Tamandua tetradactyla: one gene and its partner. The protein of the gene in region 2 purifies or fractionates together with the protein of the main gene of each other region. This does not show direct contact. Links are inferred from orthologs where the notes say so. Each region holds a gene or a part of one and is shown on either strand. Other genes may lie near its edges.

The links. The genes of interacting proteins can lie anywhere in the genome.
Region 1: the proteins of MAGED2 (region 2) and guanine nucleotide-binding protein G(s) subunit alpha isoforms XLas purify together in Homo sapiens (affinity purification with mass spectrometry; 3 studies listed by BioGRID, counting the BioPlex papers as one, with this or other methods). This does not show direct contact. The link is inferred for Tamandua tetradactyla from reciprocal best matches to the Homo sapiens genes MAGED2 and GNAS.

What each region holds. Positions count from the first base shown.
Region 1 is NC_135327.1:26,448,273-26,458,084, reverse strand, and holds the start of guanine nucleotide-binding protein G(s) subunit alpha isoforms XLas, read left to right. Parts: upstream 1-5,175; 5' UTR 5,176-5,190; coding exon 5,191-7,312; intron 7,313-9,812. UniProt on the Homo sapiens protein: Guanine nucleotide-binding proteins (G proteins) function as transducers in numerous signaling pathways controlled by G protein-coupled receptors (GPCRs).
Region 2 is NC_135353.1:113,826,039-113,836,147, forward strand, and holds the start of MAGED2 (melanoma-associated antigen D2), read right to left. Parts: upstream 4,272-10,109; 5' UTR 4,144-4,271; intron 3,609-4,143; exon of another isoform or gene 3,485-3,608; intron 2,653-3,484; 5' UTR 2,628-2,652; coding exon 2,580-2,627; intron 2,474-2,579; coding exon 1,982-2,473; intron 1,359-1,981; coding exon 1,050-1,358; intron 931-1,049; coding exon 867-930; intron 602-866; coding exon 522-601; intron 35-521; coding exon 1-34. UniProt on the Homo sapiens protein: Regulates the expression, localization to the plasma membrane and function of the sodium chloride cotransporters SLC12A1 and SLC12A3, two key components of salt reabsorption in the distal renal tubule.

The DNA.
Region 1 (9,812 bases), on a different chromosome or scaffold from region 2:
GTGAGAAGACAGTTTGGGAAGGCCCAGGGCACCATGTGAGGATGCCAAGGAAGTGGACTACCTTCCTACAGGTGGTAGTGGTACCATTCGGAGAGTCAACACTGAAGAAGTTAAGTTCTTTCCATTTGGGGATATCTATTTACACAGTCTGTTAATTTGATACCTGTGGCACCTGGGCCATTTGCTCAAACAGGCCTAACTTTCTTCAGAAATGCAGAGTTAGTGGAAACATATGTAGCATTTCCCATCCCTTTCTTAAGTCATCATTGTAGAAAATCTATTATTTTTAAATAGCCAAGTATACACAATTTTCAAGAAACTGTCATCTGAGTTTATACAGGCAACCCCTTCCCCCTCAGACACAGCACATGGCCGCGTTCCAGCCCTTCCATCTACCACACGCTCTTAGTCAAGGCCCTGGCAGTCTTTATCCTTCATCCAACTTACTCCTCTTTCAGGCACCCTGACTAGCCTATCTTGACTTCCTCTTCCTTTGCTATATGAACCCATTAATTGATTTCCTTGTCCCTGCTCATTTCTATCAAATATTTGCCTCTTCCCTGATGGAAAACCATCCAGAATTGTTACAAAATTGTAGTGGATGAGTCTAAAAACTACTGCCCGTTATGGGCCCTGGACTAGGCTGCCCACCAACACCCATCCCCAGGCAGTACATGAAGACTGGGTTCTATCTTGAGCCAGTGAGACAGCCAGCTTGCTTGCAGCAGGCTCGATAGACTGCCCTACAGTTAGAGTGCCCCCAGCCAGCCATTTACTGATCACACATAGATCTTATCATACCACCTTCCTCAAATCCCCAAGCCAGTCCTCAGGCTACCTTTCTGATCAGTCAGCTCCTCAAATATCTGGCCATGCTTCTGGGGTCTCTCCTCAAGCCGCACAGCCAATGTGTTGTTGAGTTTCACTCTTAACCCCACTTGCCCAAGTGATGTGAGGTTTTCAGCTTATAGTAGCCAGTCACTACAGAAAAATAAAAGTGGACAAAAAGGGAAACATTAGGGTTCTTAAGTGTTAGGATTTATTCTCCCTGGTCCTAATTTAATCTGAAGGTGATTCCTACTCAAGTCTCATTGTCCTTTCTCATCCTGCAGCAGTGGTTCTTAATGGGGGGCAATTTTGCCCCCCAGAGGATGTTTGGCAATATCTGGAGATATTTTGGGGTTGTTACAACTAAGAAGATGCTGCTGGCATCTAGTGGGTAGAGGCCAGGGATGCTACTAAGTATCTTTAACTGTATAGGATAGTCCCCACACAACAAAAGAATTCCAACCCCGAGTATCAGCAGATTTCATATGCTGACCACTTCCTAACTTCCCTCTGGGGTTCCCCCACCTGCCCCTTAGCCCTCACTGCCCTCTCCAGTGGCCCAAATATTGGCTTTGTCCAAGATTCTATCACCAAGTATATTTCTCCCCTTGAGAGTATTTTCTGATCCAGTGATTTCATCTCCTGCTAAGGACAATTATCAATTTGAATTTATTGGCTTTGCCTTCTTTTAAACTTAGACCCATCCTCCTAGTGTGTCACAACCTCCATCAAAACTGCCCATCAACTCTGCAGTGTCTAAAACTAAATTGGCTCCGCCACCATGCCGGCTCCTCCCCACTTCCCCCATCTCACTCATGGCTGGCCAGCCAAGTGCCATTGGGCCCCCTCCGCTTTTGTGCATTTCTAGCACAGAATTTCAGGAGATCCTGCTCCCCTGACTGTGTGTGGCTCACTCCCTAAAAGGTCACAGCCAGCCATGGCCTCCTTTGTGCACACACATACCCATTCCTTTGTTCTCTTCCTGAGGGCTCCTCCATGCTGCCTCAATCCTTCCTAAAACATGGCTCAAAACATAACTTGCAGGACAAAAAAAACTTTCCATGTCCTCTCTATTTCCTTCAAAAATAGCCTCAAAAGTGTTTGCCCTAGCCCACAGCATCCTCAGAGACATTCTTCTATTTTCCTTGCTTTTCTTCCTCTGCCCCTCCAAGAGCCCAGATGGCTTATTCTGTTACCAGGTCATGCCCCATGCTTCCTACCACTGGATCTTTTGTTCCCGGTGAGCTGGCTCCCATCCCCCCACCTATTCATAGCCAAGGCATCTATCCTTGACGCCCATTTGAAACGCCATTTCTTCCTACACCAAGCCTTCCCGGGTCCCCCCCTCCCCCCATCCCAAGTGGAAGTCTTTCTTTCATTTTTATGCTGCTATTTCCTTTGGGGGGGGGCTGGTATCTGCCCAGCCTTGATCCCCTCCATGTATGTGCTCCCCTGTCAAATAACCAAGATAAGCCAAAAGAACGTTGAACAAAGGGGGTCTCACGGGCCCAAGACAACGTTGCACAAAGAGGCCCCAAAACCATCCCTTGATGGATGCCTTGGGAAAGAGATCTCAAATTCGCACCATCCGAAGTGAGGTGGGCTGAGCGCAAGGCCTGGTGTGAACAAAGGTTCCTTCTGGGGTCCCCAGCGCGATCTCCCTGGGACTCAACCCCAGCGTCTACTGACCTTCCACTTTTGCAGGTCTCAGCATTCCTGGGGTCAACAACTGCATCGGGGCGGGAAGCCCTCTCCTCAGGGTCCTGGATCTCTACCTCCAGGCCCTGGAAATCTTCTTTCTCCTCACCTCGCCCCAGCGGCGGTCCCCTATGTTAGGCAGGTTCGCCAACCGCCATCAGCGAGACCAAGGGTCGACCCCTTGGAGCCCCTGGCCTCCCCACCCAGTCTTTGTGACTTGTGGTGTCAGGCAGAGTGACCCCACGGCGTTAACCGACCTCGTGGCCTCCCAGGCCTGGCGGCCATACACCCGCCCACCAACGGCTTCCAACCACCCTACCAACACCTCTTTGGGCGTTCCAACGCGGCGCCCCCTATTGGACCTCCCACCCATATCCGGTTTCCGGTCGGACGCCCCCTGCTCATTCGCCAGGAAGACTTGATTGGCGTGACCCCAGCCCAATGGCTGACCCGGTGCTGGAGTTGGAGGGGGAGTGAGTTGGCTATTGGGACCCAGTGGGCCCATTCAGTAGGTTCCCAAATGGCTGAGCTATGGTGCGTGCGGGTAGTTGGCCGAAGTTTGAACCAGAGTTCAGTGTTGGCATTTGGAAGCATGTAGTCCCATAGGGAGGAGGCAAAGCGCCTTTGGAGGGACCCCCAGACGTTAGTTCAGCTTTACCAGCGTTCCTCCCCCACAACAGCCCCCTGCACGGTGGGTGGGGGGGAGGTCGGGGCTCGGTAGCTGTGGTACCCTCCTTCTGAGGAAGAAGGACGCGTTAAACTTAAGATCGGACCGTGCTGTGGTTCGCCCGCAGCGGCTTGTGGTTATAGCGATCCCGAGATCCAGGCGGTGCGTCCTGCGAGCGGCAGCCCACCCGATGTGGCAATCAGCGGGCCATCCCTTCCCTATGGTTCCGCAGACCAAGCAACCACCTGTCCCTTCCCAAAGTGCTCGCCAGTCTGTGCTACCCGCTGGGCAGGCTGCCCGCGCGTGCGAGATTTTCTCTCCTGGGTTGCAGGTTTTCCCCTGGGTCAGATCCCTCCGCAGATCCCCAGACCCGGCGCGGTACACAGCACGCGCCGAGTCCACCCAGACACGACGGGTGTTTACCCCTGTGGGCTCTGAGCCCACCCTGTGCTATGGTAATAGCGCAGCCGGGCGACCACTGGCTTGTGGCCGGGCTTAGTGGTGCTTCTGCGTGTTCTAGCAATGGGAAAGTAAAGCGGTAACCCTGAGACACCCTTAGCAAGAAGAAAGGAGCTGAAAGGGCGCTGCGGAAGGGCCAGGGGACTAGTTGGACTTGCCGCGGGTGCTAGAGCCTTGGAGCCGCGTGGTGCCGCGGCACTGTGTGTGTGCCTTTGGATTCAGCGTGCTCAGAGGTGCCAATCTCCGAGACTATTCCAAGCCGGCCATAAACCTGGACCTAAATCCACTTTGTCTCTTCCCCAGAATGGTGCGAACTGCAGAACTCCCAGGCCTCCACTCTGTGGGGTCTCCATGTGCGCCCCGCACTCCCGGGTTCTGGGCTGCCGCGCCGCCGCCGCCACCGCCGTGACTTTTCCCGGGAGGTTTTGCCTGGCATTCAGTGGTGCACGCCCAAGACCCTCTTATTCACTCTGCCTCACCCTATACAAAAACGTGGAGAGACCCCCTGCCCGCGCTGCTCTAGGCCACTGCGTAGACCCCTAGAGTTTGGTGGGGATGGGGGACTTTGAAGGGCTTCACGGAAGCCAGCCTCGGCAAGCAGCAAAGGAAAACTGCAGAAGAGATGGAAAGTGCCCTAAGGCGATTTAAAAGCAATCATGTGCAAGCACTCGGCAGCCCCTCACTTCCCCTCCACCTTTCCGGTGGGCTCACGACCACCTGTCGCATTCTCATGCGCTATCATCCCCCTTCCCGGGCTCCCAGAGCCTTGCGCTATGGACTTGGAACTGCCGGGAACTTGGAGCTTGGGATCGGGGGCTTTCCGGGACTGGGGGCTGCGGCTCAGAGGTATCTTGAGGTGAGACACCCTCCTGCAGTAACCCCTCCCTGGGGGGTAGAGTCGGTTAGGTCAGGGAGGCAGGGTTTCAGCTCCTGCGTTCAACCTGCCCGGGACCCACGTCTTGCGTCACGTGTCCCGCAACGCAGGGAGAGCTTTCTCTCTGGCCAGGGATGAAGCGAGGAGAAAGCCTCCAAATCGTCAGGGAGAGGAGTGGAAGGAACCAAAACGTCCCTCGGAGGCCTGCGCTCATCGCTCATCAGCCCCTTACCCAAAGTCCGGGGTTGCGAGTGCCAGGAGCCAGCGTCCCCTGGTGGCAGAGAGCGGGCACTACAGACGATTTTCGGACCGAATCGGCACGCTCCTCAGATCCAAGCAGGCGGAGCTAGCCTGGAGCAGAGGGGGAGAGAGAGAGAGGAGGGACAAGGACAAGGACAAGGGGGGGCCAAGGGGGCAGCTAAGGGGATAAAAAGTGGCCAAGAAGGGACCAAGAGTCCACCAGCAACGGTAGAGTTGCTACTGCTATGGTCCAGGGTCTGAAGTGTTGAACTACCAGACTTCACCCAGGTTGAGCAGTGAGGTTGGAGAACTTTCTAATTGGTACTTCGATTTTTTTTTTCCAAAAAAATTTTTTCACCCTAGTTTGGTTGGGTGCTCCGTCTTACGGGGCCCCCAAATTATCTTGAAAGGCCGCCACCGTGTTATGGGCCTGCGCAACCGCCTCGACGGCAATCATATGTCAGGACAACGCGATATCCCCCTTGAATTCGGGGAGCAGCCCAACCAACCACCTTTGGAGGCCCCAGGGGCAGCTGCCCCCAGTGCTGGGCCTGGCGCAGCCGAAGCGATGGAGACCGAACCGCCTACCAGCGAGCCCATCCCGGTCAAGACTAGCGGTGAGGCCTTTGGATCGCCTGAGGTCTCCGAGCCCTGTTCCCAGGGCCTCGGCCTGGCCTTCCAGGAAGCTGGAGCTTGTGGAGGCCATAGTCCACCTCCCGAAGAAGTCAAGCTCTTCCAGACCGAGGAGCCCAGCGTGGGAGGCCTCTGGCCTACCCAGGAGCAACCTAGAACCTTCGCTGGGGCCCGTGCAGGGGCCAGTGCAAGCCTCGAGGCCTTTGGCCCAGCAGCAATGGAGCCCCAAGCCTTCGATGGTGCCAAGTCAGGCCTGGGAGGCTACAGCCCTCCACCAGAGGAAGCTCTGCCCTTTGAGTTTAAGCAGGGAGGCTGCAGTCCACCTCCCTTGCAGCTCGGAGCCCTCTCTCCGGCCAGCCCAGGTTTGGGGGTCACCAGCGCTCCCCCAGAGGAGCCTGGACCCCCCAGGTCTGCAGACGCAGGCTTTGGAGGATCCAGCCCTCTCCCTGAAGAGGCTATGTCATTTCGGTTCGAGGGAGCAGGCTTTGGGTACGACAGCCCACCCTCTGGGCTCTCCCAAGTCCTCCCAGAGACCGACCGCGGGGCCCAGGTCTCAGCAGTCGCGGTCCCGAGCGCGGTCCGCCTCACTCCCGCCGAGAACGCGCCCCCCCTCTGGGCCCCGGGCGCCATCGACAGTCCAGTCCGAGAGGCTGTCAGACCTCCTCTTCACTTCGCGGGTGACAGCCCCCCGCTGGAGATCGCCCGACCCCAGCTCAAGATTGGCAGCGCCCCCATTGGGGTCTACGACGCTCCCGTCAACATGGACAGCCCCCCAATCGCGCTTGACGGCCCGCCCATCGAGGTCTCCCGAGCCCCAGTTGAAAGAGAGCGAGCAGAGCCAGGGAGACCCCCAGTTGAGGGTGAAGCAGCCGAGATGGAAGGAAGCTCAGCCACTGCTCCCGCCGAGGGAGGTAAAGTACCTTCTCTCGGGAACGGAGCCCCTGATGCCAGGGACGGTGCCCCTGACTCCCGGGACGGAGCCTCTGACGCCGGGGACGGAGCCTCTGATGCTGGGGACGGAGCCCCTGACGCCGGGGACGGAGCCCCTGACGCCGGGGACGGAGCCCCTGACGCCGGGGATGGAGCCCCAGACGCCGGGGATGGAGCCCTTGACGCCGGGGATGGAGCCCCAGACGCCAGGGACGGAGCCCCTGATGCCGGGGACCGAGCTCCAGACACTCCAGACACCGGGTGTGCCGCTGATGCCCCTGCAGCCCCTGACGCCCCTGCCACCCCTGACGCCGGGGCCACCGCTGCCACCCCTGACGCTCCCGCTGCCGGGGCCGCTGCTGCCGCCCCTACAGCCCCTGCCACCGGGACCGCTGCCGCGGTCTCTGCAGCCCCTGCCACCCCTGCTGCCAGGGCCGCCCCTGCTGGCCGGGTCACCAGAGCCGACGTCCCTACCCGGGCATCAAGCAGGCTCAAGATGCAGCGCCTTAGACCCCCCAGCCCCGAGATCCAGGCTGCTGACCCGCCTACTCCGCAGCCTGGTCGCTCGGCTTCCCGGCGGGGCCCCAGGTCCGACCGCAGCGACGACGAGGAGTCCGTCAGCAGCGATGAATCCTCTGCCAGCAAAGACGACCCAGGAGAGGGGACCTCCGGAGGCCGCCGCTGGGGGCAGCCCCGGAAGAACCGCCGCCGCCGCCGCAAGCCCCGGCGCAACTTACTCCGCAACTTCCTCATCCAAGCCTTTGGAGGCTGCTTTGGGCGATCCGACAGCCCCCAGCCCAAAGCTCCTAAGCCCCCCAAAGTCAAGAAGGTTTCACTGGCAGAGAAGCGCAGACAGATGCGCAAAGAAGCGCTCGAGAAACGGGCTCAGAAGCGCGCCGAGAGGAAACGCAGCAGACTCATCGACAAGCAACTCCAGGCTGAGAAGATGGGGTACATGTGCACGCACCGCCTGCTGCTTCTAGGTAATGCGGTGGACGCTCCCCACTAGGAGCAGAGCCGCCGGTGGGGCCCGGGAGGGGGTGGCAGGGCTGCCCAGTGGGGTTCGGGGCCTGGCGGCCGGAGGAGGGGGTCCGGGCAAAGGCAGGAAAAGCCTGCTCGGAAGTTCCTGCAAGGGACCCTAACTTTACCCTGGGAGCGGGAGGGTACCCGGGCAGGCTCCGGGGGCCGAGGTGTGTGCCCTCCAGGGAGAAAAGTGGCGCAGAGCGACATTGAGGGTCGTTTCGGGCTGGACAAGCCGGCACCAGCGACAGTAAGCTGCCCCGGAGCCTTGGGGTGGGGGCCGGCAGAACAGGCGAGGGCTTCAGGTGAGCCAGGAAGCGCTGAGGAGGGGGCTGGTGCCTCCCCAGGCGAGGACGGTTTGGGCCGCGGTGGGTTGGGGACGTCGGGAAAGGTGTGCCCCCGCCTCGCCTGGCACGGCTGCTTGGACTCGGAAAGCTTGTGTTTGGTATGTGTTAGTGTCCGTATCCTGTGTCTGCCTGTGCATGATCAGCTCAAGTATCCCCAGTTACCCCAACCCCGGCACCCCAAATTACCCGCCGACTGTGTACTTGTACTGGAGAAGTGGCTTTCTGTGTTTTGCGCTATGGCGCGGTAAAAAAAACTTTCCGTGTTCGCGCACTCTGGTGGTACCTGTACGTTGGCGCTCTGCAGCGGGCAGCGCGAAAATACAGAGGGGAAGGTGGCTGGACATCTTGGGTTGAGGGGCCTTGGCGTGAGGGGGCCGGTGCACACCGGCCTCCATAACCTTTTTTTCTGTGTGTTTCTCTCTTTTTCCCTCTGCGCTAAACGTTTTCCTCACTTCTTATTCGTTCACCAAACCCTCCCGCCTTTTACGTTGAAAAACCAGACACACAGGTATCTGGGGCGTCCAGGACTGCACCCAAAGATTCAGCATTCTGCGCACACTCAGCTTACCTTGTAGGGGGTGGAGGAGAGGGGTCGGGCGGGGGGCACTTAATCTGCTTTGGGCAAGTCTAGATCCAAAAACAAAAAAAAAGAAAAGAAAATCCACTCTGGGCTGACTGGGCTGGTTCCAAGGGGGTGGGCGTGGCTGTGTTTTAAAAAAATGAAATAATTTTTTTTCCCCCAGGGAAGAGCCCGAGGTAAGCCAATCATTTACTCTTTTACATAGAAAACAGTAGGAGAGGCTTGATTTAAAAGGTGGTGGTGGGGGGGGGGGGTTGGCAGTGCAGTTCCACTCGTGTTTGAAATGCAGTTAAAATAAAATGCTTTAAAAAAAATTGCTCCGAGTGTATTTTACCTGTGTGAACAAAATGGTAAAACAGTGGATATGACTTGTGAAATATGTCAGTGTTTGCATGTAAATTTTTTCTAGCAGCTTTAGCTGGTGGCCCAGAGGCTCAAAGGTAAGGTTCTGTTGCTCAGCTCTAAATACAAAAAATGTTTCAAAAGACTTGTAACTTAAGTTGGAATAACCATATTCTGACCAGAAGGGTACCTCCTTCCCCACCCTCTCTCTCAGTGTCCTCTCCCCTCTCCAGCACCCCCTGCCTCACCCCAAAACAAAACCCTTTTCCCCATCTCCATTCCCCACCCCCACCCCTTCTCCTCAAAACTCTTCCCATCTCATTCTGGGACATTAATTAACTCTTTTTGCCATGGTTAATCAAAGCAGCAATTAGCAATACTCTGAATCTGTGGCTTAAATGAAGATCTCTAAACTGAAGCACCACAATCTTAATTTCTTTATTTTATTCTCTAAAACCTTTCAAGGGATTTCAAGATCACAGTTTCTAAGACTGTGCTACATTTGTCTGTTAAATATTGTATAATGTGTGATGGATTTCATTAATGCCACAATTGATATAACTATGCTATTGTGATATTTCCTGCTATTTTTAAGTGATTATCATTTTATTTATGCCCACCAAAGGAAATAATGACCTTATCATTTTCCCAAAAAACATACAGAAGGGAGATAGCTTAAATTTCAGATGTCCCAACTGCACTAAAGCCACAGAGCCATGTTTCCCTGTAGACAACTGCATTTGCCCTAACATCCCCCATATCAATATTTCAAGCAGAGCTCTGGGAAGCAAACCTGCAACAGAGATGGAGTAGAGGGACAACTGGACACAGACAGCAGACCCAAGTGACAGGATACTCCTGGCCCCTAATTGGCAGATCCCCTTTATGTGCTGAGGCTCAGTTGGTTCATTTAGGGAATGAAAATTTTTTTTCCCACCCAGGTCTCGTTTAACTCAATGACTTGGGCCCCTATTTTCTAGAGTAGTGAAGGGGGGAGCACAGTCCACTGAAATCAGGACTGGAGGCTCAGACCATAGATTATGCAAACATAAATCCTGCAGTACATTGCCTATATCTGGGTCAGATTTTAAGAATTTCCTTTCCCTGTTTTGCATCCAAGAGGAAAAATTAACCTTATGAGAGATTTTCTGGAGTCCTCGTGCCACTCTTCCTGGCTTTGCTTACAGGGTAGGG
Region 2 (10,109 bases):
TCTTATCGATTTCCTTCAATTGGATTCCAAAAACCTATGGATGGGGAGAACACCTCATGAGGCCAAAAAATTCAGCTTCCTAGCCAACCACAGTTCCCCATGTACCTAGGGTTTTGAGTGTCAGAAATAAGTGAGATAATGCATGTAAAATACTTAGCTAAGTGCCTGGCACACAGTAATCACGGAATAAATGCACTACTGTTTTCTATGCAATTAATGGGAATCTAAGGAGACAGAGAATGGGGAATGGAAGGGAGAGGTAATCATCTGAAATACATCACAGGATGCGTCCAATAGTGGACAGAAGCCACAACTAAGAATTTGGGTGGACTGGGTCCTAGCTGTGCTTTTACCTCTGACTGGCTATGTAATTCATGGCTAGTCTATGCCCCTCCCTAGGCTACCATCTTGCCAGTGATAGGGCTGGATTAGCAAGTATATGTGGTCCCTCCCAGAAGGGACATGTACACCTTTGTTCAGGGCTTCCCCATTGTGCCCATCCCCCAGGGCTACCCCTTCACCTTCTCCAAGGAATAGCCTGCTCGTTCAATGATTTCAGGGTACACATCAGTGTATTCTTTGATGATGTCCTTCAGCATGTCTGCAAGGGGAGAGTGTTGCGAGCACCTGGGCTGAAGAGAAGCCAGGCGGCCCCCATGCCCTGCCCAAGCTATAGACCCTTGCCAACCATGCTATGGGTGGTGTAGCACGGTTCTGTGCTAATGAACACAAATGCGAGCACTGCCAAAGTAGAACTACGGGAGGACACTGGTCTGAGCATAAGAGCAAAGGATGCCCCCAGCACATGGGAGAGAGGGCAATGGAGAGCAGAGTTCAGGGAGAGCTGATGGTTAGTAAGGCTTTACCTGAGCGCTTGATGGGGATCTTTGTCTGGTCTTTAACCAGCAAGTATTTCACCAAATCATTTGCCTGAGAGAAGAGGAAAAGATGGAAAGATCAGATATGTTTCCAGAAGATTTGAGAGCATGGCAGAGCAGAGGGCAGACAATGCAGTAGAAAAACCAGAGTGGAACGGCCAGAGTTCTTACCCTGCCTTGCAAAAGGGCTACATCCCGAGGTGGCAGCACTTGGGGTTCTTGGGATGATTGAAGCTTGGCGGCTCTACGACGAGCCTTTCCCCTACGGGCCTTAGGTGACCTCAGTGACAGCAAGGCTCTCCGGGCCCAAGCAGCCAACCGAGTCCTCGATGCCCTGCGGGCCCAAAAGGCTATGGGGCCCCTTGAGGCTCTGCGGGCCATTGAGGCCATTAGGGCCTTTGAGACCCTTCGACCACCTGTGGTTCCAGAAGCCTGACTCTGATCACTGCTGCCATCCTCTTCCCCATTCAGATGCTTCACCTGTATCAACAAAGAGGGAGCTCAACATCACCAGATGAAGCAGATGGTCATTTTTCCTCATGCTGAGACTTCCAGGAAGCTTCCCCAACCCCACCCCATAATAACAGCCTGCTTCACTAGCCTCTGGTGTCATACAGAGTCTTGAGTTTGTCTTTCACTGACTTCCAGGCAGGAGTTTAATCTCCCCACCAGGCCAGAAACACTGCAAGGGTGGGACGTAAGGCTTCTTCTCTTCTTATATCCACTACTGGCTCTGCCTGTACTACCCTGGACAAGTCACTTAATCTCTCTGTGGCTTAGCTTCCTTCTCCATAACACTAAGACTATGATCCCTAACTGGTAGGAGTTACCTTCAAAATTCAATGAGATAACCTGTGTGAATGTGCCTAGCTCAAGTCCTAACACATGGTAAATATAAACTGAATTATATTCAGATTGCAACTAAGTATATTCATATCTCATCTCTCCCCCAATGTAAGTTCTCTGAAAATACGAACTATATCACATTTCTCTCAGTGTTCCCACAGTCTTGAAGAGCACAGGGAACCTTGGTAACTTTTTATATAACAAATGAACCAACAGGGGGAATGGAAACGCCAGGGTGGAAACTACAGAGCTCTTACCTTTCGGGCTTTCTTGGCCTTGACTTTGGGCCGGGTATCCTGATTCTCCTGAGCCTGGGCAGCTGTATCCTCAGACTCAGGTTTATCTGCCAGAGCCTGAGAGGCAGCAGCCTCAGTTTCCAGGGCCTTTGTAATGACCTGGGTGCTACCCATACAGCTGACCTCTTTGGGCTCACTGGCAGGTACTGTCACAGCCTGCGAGTCAGTATTCTGCATTTTAGTGTCAGCAGGTGGACTCTTGCTGTCAGCTGCCAGAACCTGGGTATCAGTAAGCTGAGTGGTAGATGAGGCCTGGGTAGCAGCTGCCTCCTGAGACTCTGGGGCCTCTGAGACCTCTGTGGTCTTTGAGGCCCCTGGGGTATTTGAGACCTTTAGGGTCTCTGAGACCTCTGATGTCTTTGAGGCCTTTGGTGCCTCTGAGACCTCCAAGTTCTGAGTCACTGTCAATAGGGTCTGCATCATCAGGCTGTTTTCTTCTGAAGCTTCTTCAGCCTGCAAGAAGAGGAAGCCGGAAAGTTCAAGAACCTTCTCCCCACCCCCAACTAGGCAAATGGCTCAAAAATCCCAGGGCTGGGAAGAGGACAAGAGGTGGCCTCACCTGGAGATGGGATGGACCCGCACCACCACTCTCACTTGCGTCAGACATTTCTCAAATTGCCTAGCAAAAGAGCCTGAAGGAAAGAAAGCCTAGGTCAACGGCAGAGCTCACTGAACGTACTCTTCCGTTTTCTGCTTAAGGCTGACCCTCACCTTCCCTAGGGCCCCAATCCCACACCTCCCCCATCCCCAACCGCAACGACTTCGTTCTCAGATAAAGGAATCCAGAGCGTCTAGAGCCCAATTCTCCGCAGCCGCACCCTCCCCTTCTACAGGAAGATGTGCCAGCGCGGCAGCTCTAAGGACCCCGCCCCTTTTCCCAATGCACCCCCAGCCGCAGGTCGATAGTACGCATGCGCGTCCGCTGCAAGGCCCATCTCAGCTCCGCCTACTTTTCTAACACAAGCCCTTTCTTTGCGGTCCACCGTGCACATGCGCACTCGGCAGCAGGCCCGTCTCCCGGTCGGCCCTTCTCTACACGCCCCTTTCTAGCGATCCATAGTACGCATGCGCGCTGGTAATGGTCTCAGCCCAGCACCCTTTCCCAACACACGCCTCTCTCCAGGTTTCCAGTACCATTAGTTCCCGCCCCGTCTCCAACAAGCCTCTCACCCAAATTATCCCAGTGTCTGGTGGCCCCGGCCCCTCCCCAACTTACACCCACCCCACCAGGTCCACAGTGCCTCCTGGTCCCGCCCTTTTTCCTAACACACCCCCCTCTAAATAGGGCAAAGTGACCCTTCCCTAATACATCCCCCTCCTCAGATCAGTATTGAACTAGTGGTTCCATCTTGCGCCGGGCCAAACCGGGTCCAGTGCCTTCCCTTCCCAGCCGGACGGATCCAGTATGATCCGGTGCTTATGGCAGGTTTTCGCCAGATCCCAGAGGGTGGGGCCAACACCTACCCGGTTCTGATCCGAAGCTGGGCCCAGCTCACCTCGTCCTCCTACAAGCCCCAAATTGCGTGCGATCTCTCCAAGCCCCTCCGAAACTCGAAGACTGCCCTCCCCCCTTCAGGCCGGAAGTGGTCCCGCCCCTTTCCGCCTCCCTAGGGGGCCTCAGTCCCAGCCTGTCTGCCCCTCCCCCATTCCCTGCTCCTCATTCCTTATTCCCCACCCCACCCCCGTAGTCCCTCGTTCCGTATTCCCTATTCCCCCATCACGTTTTCTGTTTGCCCCCACGGAATTTTCTATTTCCATTCCGTACATCCTCCTCCGTGTTACCTATGCTCCCCCACCCCCCACTATTCCTTAATCCCTCTGTGCATCCCTATTCTCTTCTCTGGATCTCCATTCCCCTTCAGTGTTCCCCTCCCCCGTCGTACACCGCGTCCCCCACCCGACATGCCGGATTCCCGGTTTTTCCCCTCCTCACCCGCTATTCTCTACTCCCCAGTCCCTACAGCCTACTACTCTATCAGTCGTCGTAGCTGCACCCCACTCCGGGTCACGTCTCCGCCAGCTGCAGTGCTGCAGTAAGAATTGCCCACCTGCCTAGCTATGGGTTCAAAGAAGCTGGAACCACTGTCTAACTGCGAGGGAACCCCAATCTCAACGACCCTCACCTAGTCCGCGACCGAGTCCGGAATGCGTCTGCCTTCTCTCAGTCCTTCTCGAAGTCTCAGACTCCAGGGCTAAAGCTGCAGCCAGCCCAGCCCAGCCCAGCCCCTTTCCGCAGCCCCCTGCCACCCCACCCTTCGCCTTCCTCGGGGGTGGGGCAATGGGGCCCGGCTCAAGGCTGTCTGACGCCAAAGCCCTATGCCACTGTACTAGGCTTGGTCTGAAGCCTTTCCAACCAAAACCACCCCCTCAAAGCCCTTCATTCATTGAATTTGTTTATTTTTATATCATTATTTTACCTTATTACAAAGGTACTGTCTTGTCGTGAAAATTCTAATAATGCAGAAATATATAACATACCAGTGAAGTACTGCCCTTATCCCATCCCCCAGAAATAACCACTCAATATTTTGACATGCATCCCACCAGCTTTTTCTATTCATATACTTATTACTTGGGTTTCCCCCCACAAATGGCACACTTATATGGTACACAAATGGTACACTAGTCATTCGTGAACTAGATTTTTTCCAGTTATATATTCTGAACATCTATCTCAGTTCACATTTTTCTTAGCTGCATGATCTTTTCTAATATACTTGCTCCATAATTTATTTAGCCAGCCGAGTATCCATGGACATTTAGATTGCTTCCTTTTTTTTGGTTTTATTTTTGTTTGTTATTACAAACAATGCTACAAGGAGAATTCTTGTATCTGTATCCTTCTGCAATTGTGCTTGTATCTGTAGGATAAACTCATAGAAGTGGAATTGCTAAGTCAAGTACTAGAAAAGTTTTCCATTTTAATACAAGATTTGCAGACTTGCCTCCCCAAAATATTAAACTGAATAATACTTTCACCAATGGTATTTAGCATATGTTTCTATGTCAAATATGTTTGTTATTTATGGTATGTTTTGCTAACCCAAATGCTACAAAAAGTCTTCCATTTTGATACAAAATTTGTCAAGTTACAGCCCAAAAGATACATGGAATAACATTCCCAGCAATAATGTCCTCATATATTTATGCGCTGCATATATTGCAAATACTGTTCATGTTATTTATGATCATTTTTGCTATACAAAATAGTTTATTATTTACTCAAATATATCAGTTTTTTTTCCTTTATCATATCTGGGTTCTGCATCATGCTTAGAGATGCTTTCCACACTCCTAAACTACAACAATTCCTGTTTGTTTTTTTCAATCACTTTTTTTTTTTTTTTTTTGCATGGGTGACCACCGGGAATCAAACCCAGGTCTCGGGCATGGCAGGCGAGAACTCTGCCACTGAGCCACCATGGCCCACCCTGTTTTTTTCAATCACTTTTATGGCTTTATTATTTACATTAAAATTTTTATCATTCCAAAATTTGCTTTAGTAAAAGGAGTGAGGTAGGGAATTCAGTTTTATTAATGTCCCCAAATCATAATCACTATCCATATATCATGTACAAACTAATCCACTCTGCTATTGATCTGAAATGATGACTTAATCACACATTATTTTGTTTCATGGCTGCTAAATCAAATACCATGCAATGAGTTGGCTTAAACAATGGGAATTTATTGGCTTAGTTTGGAGACTAGGAGAAGTCCGAAATTAAGGAGTTGTCAAAGCAATGCTTTCTCCCAGAAGACAATTATGTTTTGGGGCTGGCTGCAAGAGATCGCTGGTCCTTGGCTTTTCTGTCACATAGCAATATACATGGAGGCCTCTCCAGGCCTCTCCTTTACTCTTCCAGGTTCTGTTGATTTCCAGCTTGTGGCTGCTCCCTGTGGCTTCTCTACCATTTTGGCCTTCCTTCCCTATAAGGTCTTCAGTGATAGGATTAAGACGCATCCTGATCCAACTGAGACACACCTTAACTGAAGTAACCTCATTGAAATGTCATATTTACAAGGGGTTCACACTGATGGGAATGAATGAAGTTTAAGAACATGTTTTTCTAGGGTGCACAGCTCTAAGCCATCACACATATTAGATTCACATAAGTAATTAACTCCATGCAAGAGAACAAAATAAAATGTATAAATAATGGAAAATAGACAAAATTGTCATTAATTAACCTGGAAAACCCAGGAATATCATCTTAAAAATTATGAAAAACCATAATAAAATTCAGCACAGTGGTCAGTTACAGAAAAAATAGTCAATATCTTTCCTACATGTAATTCGATGTAATTCAAATGGCCACAAAGCCTTCTGCTTGATGGCCTTTACTAAACAGTGAAATATCATGAGTCCATATATTCCATGGACAATTTAAAACATGCGCATACTCACACATTCCCAGGCATTCAAGGTAGGCTTTTGTTCTCTTGTCTCCTCTCTCTCTAAATTGCTGCTTCCTCCAAGTTTGTGACATCAGCTGACCACTTTCCTGCTCCCCATCCACCAACTTTATTTCACACCAGACACACTACCTTAGCCACTATCTCCAGCATTTTAAGTGTCAAAATATCCTTTCTGATCCTCTTCATAAACATTTGCTAGGTGACTTACAGCAGGGGAGAGTCTAACTGAATAGCCAAAAGCCAATTTTGATATTGTCATAAGGCATCATAGGATATATAATTATTTGTGTGTTGTAATATCAACATAAAGTTAGCATTTGATTTTTATTACAGCAATGTATATATGTGGCAACAAATAAAATAGTACAGAATTTATGATAAAAACCAACAGTCCCTGCCTCAATCTTCCCCATCCATCCCACTCCCAAGAAGCAATCTTTAAACCATTTATTATTATTATTTTTAGTTCTACTGGCAATACCCTTCAGTACTCTAGATAATATACATATCCTCTGTTTCTTAGTTGATAAAATTTAGACAATATCCCACTGACTCCCCAGTATGGAAATGAGGGTTTTGTTTATGTACACTGCCTCATTTTTCCCTCCACTCTTCTGCAACATTTAACAGTGATACTCTTTTGTGTTTTTCTCTTGGTTGATTTAAAAATATAATCAAATCTTTATTTCTCGTTCCATCCATTTTTGAGACTGTCCACTTTTTAGGACAAGGTTATTAGTACCACTACCTACCTGCTGCCCATACAATGTATCATACTGTCAGTTTCATTATTCCTTTTACATTATCCAGGTTATTAACATTTATATTTTGCTCTGCAGCCACAACCAAGTCTTCTCTACTTTGCCCCCCGGTTGACTCTAAAACCTGAAAATCAATAGACAGCATTTACATTATCGTGACATTGTAAATATTTTTCAAAACTCAGCCAAGTAGAGAGCCAGGAATACATTTCCTTCTCTACAAGTCCATGTCACAATCCCTGGGCCTCTCAGAGTAACACGTCTCTAGCATCGAGGTCAAAAGAAAGCTCCTCTTATACTCCAGCTGTTAACAATCATACTATATTTTGTTTTGCTTAATATTTAGACTACGATTTTTTAACAGTCCCCCCCTACACACATAGAGTTTCTAATAACTTTTCTTTTTTCCTTGAATTATTTGTCTTTATCATATTCAGTCATTCAACAAATATTTATTGAGTGTCTGCTATGTGCCAGACACTGTTCTACGGGCTGAGGATACAGCAGTGAACAAAACAGATAGCAATCCTTGCTCCTTTGGAATTGATAGTCTAGAGAGAGAAGATAAAAGTCAGTGCAAAGGCCCTAGGTTAGGACTATGTCTGGCACTTATTTTTTCCATGCCTGGCAATTTTGAAGAGTATAAAGATCAGTGTTGCTAGTGCTGGGGAAAGTGGGAAGGGAAGTAATAGGAAATGTGGCCCTATAAGCCACAGTGAGATCCACAGGAAGATTTTGAACAACAGAGAGACAGAAAATGACTTGGGTTTTAAAATGGATTCCTCCAGCTACTGTAAAAATACACTGATGGGGGTGGGAAGGAGTGACAACAGCAAAAAAAGAGGACCAGTGAAGAGGCTGCTGCAGTAATGGCTTCGGTTGGATCCACTGTTTCCTACATTCATTGTTCTGGATACCTGTCCTACACATAACTTCTAATGTGATTTAATCAAATTCTCCTCCATTGTTTCTATTATGTCTGTCTGGGATTTCCATTCAGATATTAAGCCTGCTAGATTGGTTTATGTGTCTTAAATTTTCTTATATTTTCTGTTTTGTTTTGTTTTGTTTTGCCCTATATCCTGGGAGATTTCCTGTACATCATTTTCCAGTCCTTCTGCTGATTTTTTTTTATTTCACCAATTTATTGTCAATATCCAAGTAGTCCTTCTTTTCTCTTATTGTTCCTGTATTGTAAAACCTAGTTTCTTTTTAAAAAACAGTTTTATTCATACACTGTACAATCCATTCAAAGTGAACAATCAGTGGTTCTTGGTTTAGTCACATAGCTATTCATCACAACCACAATCAATATGAGAACATTCTCATTTCTCTGAAAAAAGTATCCCATACCCCTTATGCCCCCTCCCCATGATTGACTCAACTTTGGTATAATGCCTTTGTTACAATTGATGAAAGAATATTTCAATATCACCGTTAACTATAGTCCTCCGTTTGCATTAATTGTATTTTTCCATATACCACCTTATTATTACCACCTTATAATAGTGATGTACATTTATTCTAGTTCATGTAAGAACTTTCTTATATTTGTACAATTAACCACAGTCATTGTCCACTATAGGTTTTGCTATGTTATACAGACCCACGTTTTATCCCCTAGTTTTCCTTCTAAAGACATACACGACCCTACACTTCCCCTTTCAAACATACTCACGCTCAGCACCGTTAGTCACTTTACGGTATTGTGCTACCACCATGTAGTGTTGTGTTATCCATTTCTGAACATTTACAATCAACCTTATTAAACCTTATTTACAGATTAAGCATCAATCTGCCCATTCTCTACTCTCTTTCTATCACCTGGTAACCTATACTCTAGATTTTAGCTCCAAGAGTTTGCTCATTATAATTAGTTCATATTAGTGATACTATATGATATTTGTCCTTTTGTGCCTGGCTTATTTCACTCAACATAATTTCCTCAAGGTTCAGCCATGTTGTTGCATGCATCAGGACTTAATTCCTTCTTATAACTGCATAATATTCCATCATATATATCTACCACAGTATGGTTATCCATTCATCCGTTGATGGACACTTGGGCTATTTCCATCTATTGGCAACTGTGAATAATGCCACTATAAACATCGATCTAAAAATGTCTATTCACGTCCCTGCTTTCAGTTCTTTTGAGTATATACCTAGTAACAGGATTGCTGGATTATATGGCAGTTCCACATTCAGCTTCCTGAAGAATCGCCAAACTGCCTTCCAGAGTAGCTGCACCATTCTACATTCTCAGCAGCAGTGAATAATCATTTCTATTTTCTACACATGCTTTCCAGCACTTTTAGTTTTCTGTTAGTTTTTATTATGGCCATTCTGGTAGGTGTGAAATGATATCTCATCATGGTTTTGATTGCATTTCCCTAATAGCTGGTGATGTCAAGCATCTTTCCATGTGCTTTTTAGCCATTTGTATGGGACCTAGTTCCTATTATATGGATGTTAATAACCTTGCTGAGAATATTATACATTTTATTTTCTGAAATTCTCTTTTGTTTCCCAAATTCCAGAATTCTTCTGGGGTCAGTTGTTGCAGTTATCTTAGTTCTTTGTTTTCGTATTGGAGATTCCCTTGATTTGCCTGAGGATTCTTGGTTATCCATTCATATTTAAGATAAAAGGATTGGGTAGCTAATGTAGGCTCCCTATGTAAGCCCGTTTTCTAGCTAGGGATCTTTCCTGTGAGGAAAATCTGTCAGAAGACTTTATGTGGACTAGGGAAAGTGACAACTGGCAGGCTTTAAGGAGAACATGCTATGGGCCCCCCAAATGCCAGAATGAGGAGACTTTTGTTCTGTGGTGCCAAATGCCATAACACCAGTCTTAGTGATCCCTAGGTAGTTTGTAAAATGTCATGAATTTTGTCTGAAGGAAAGTAT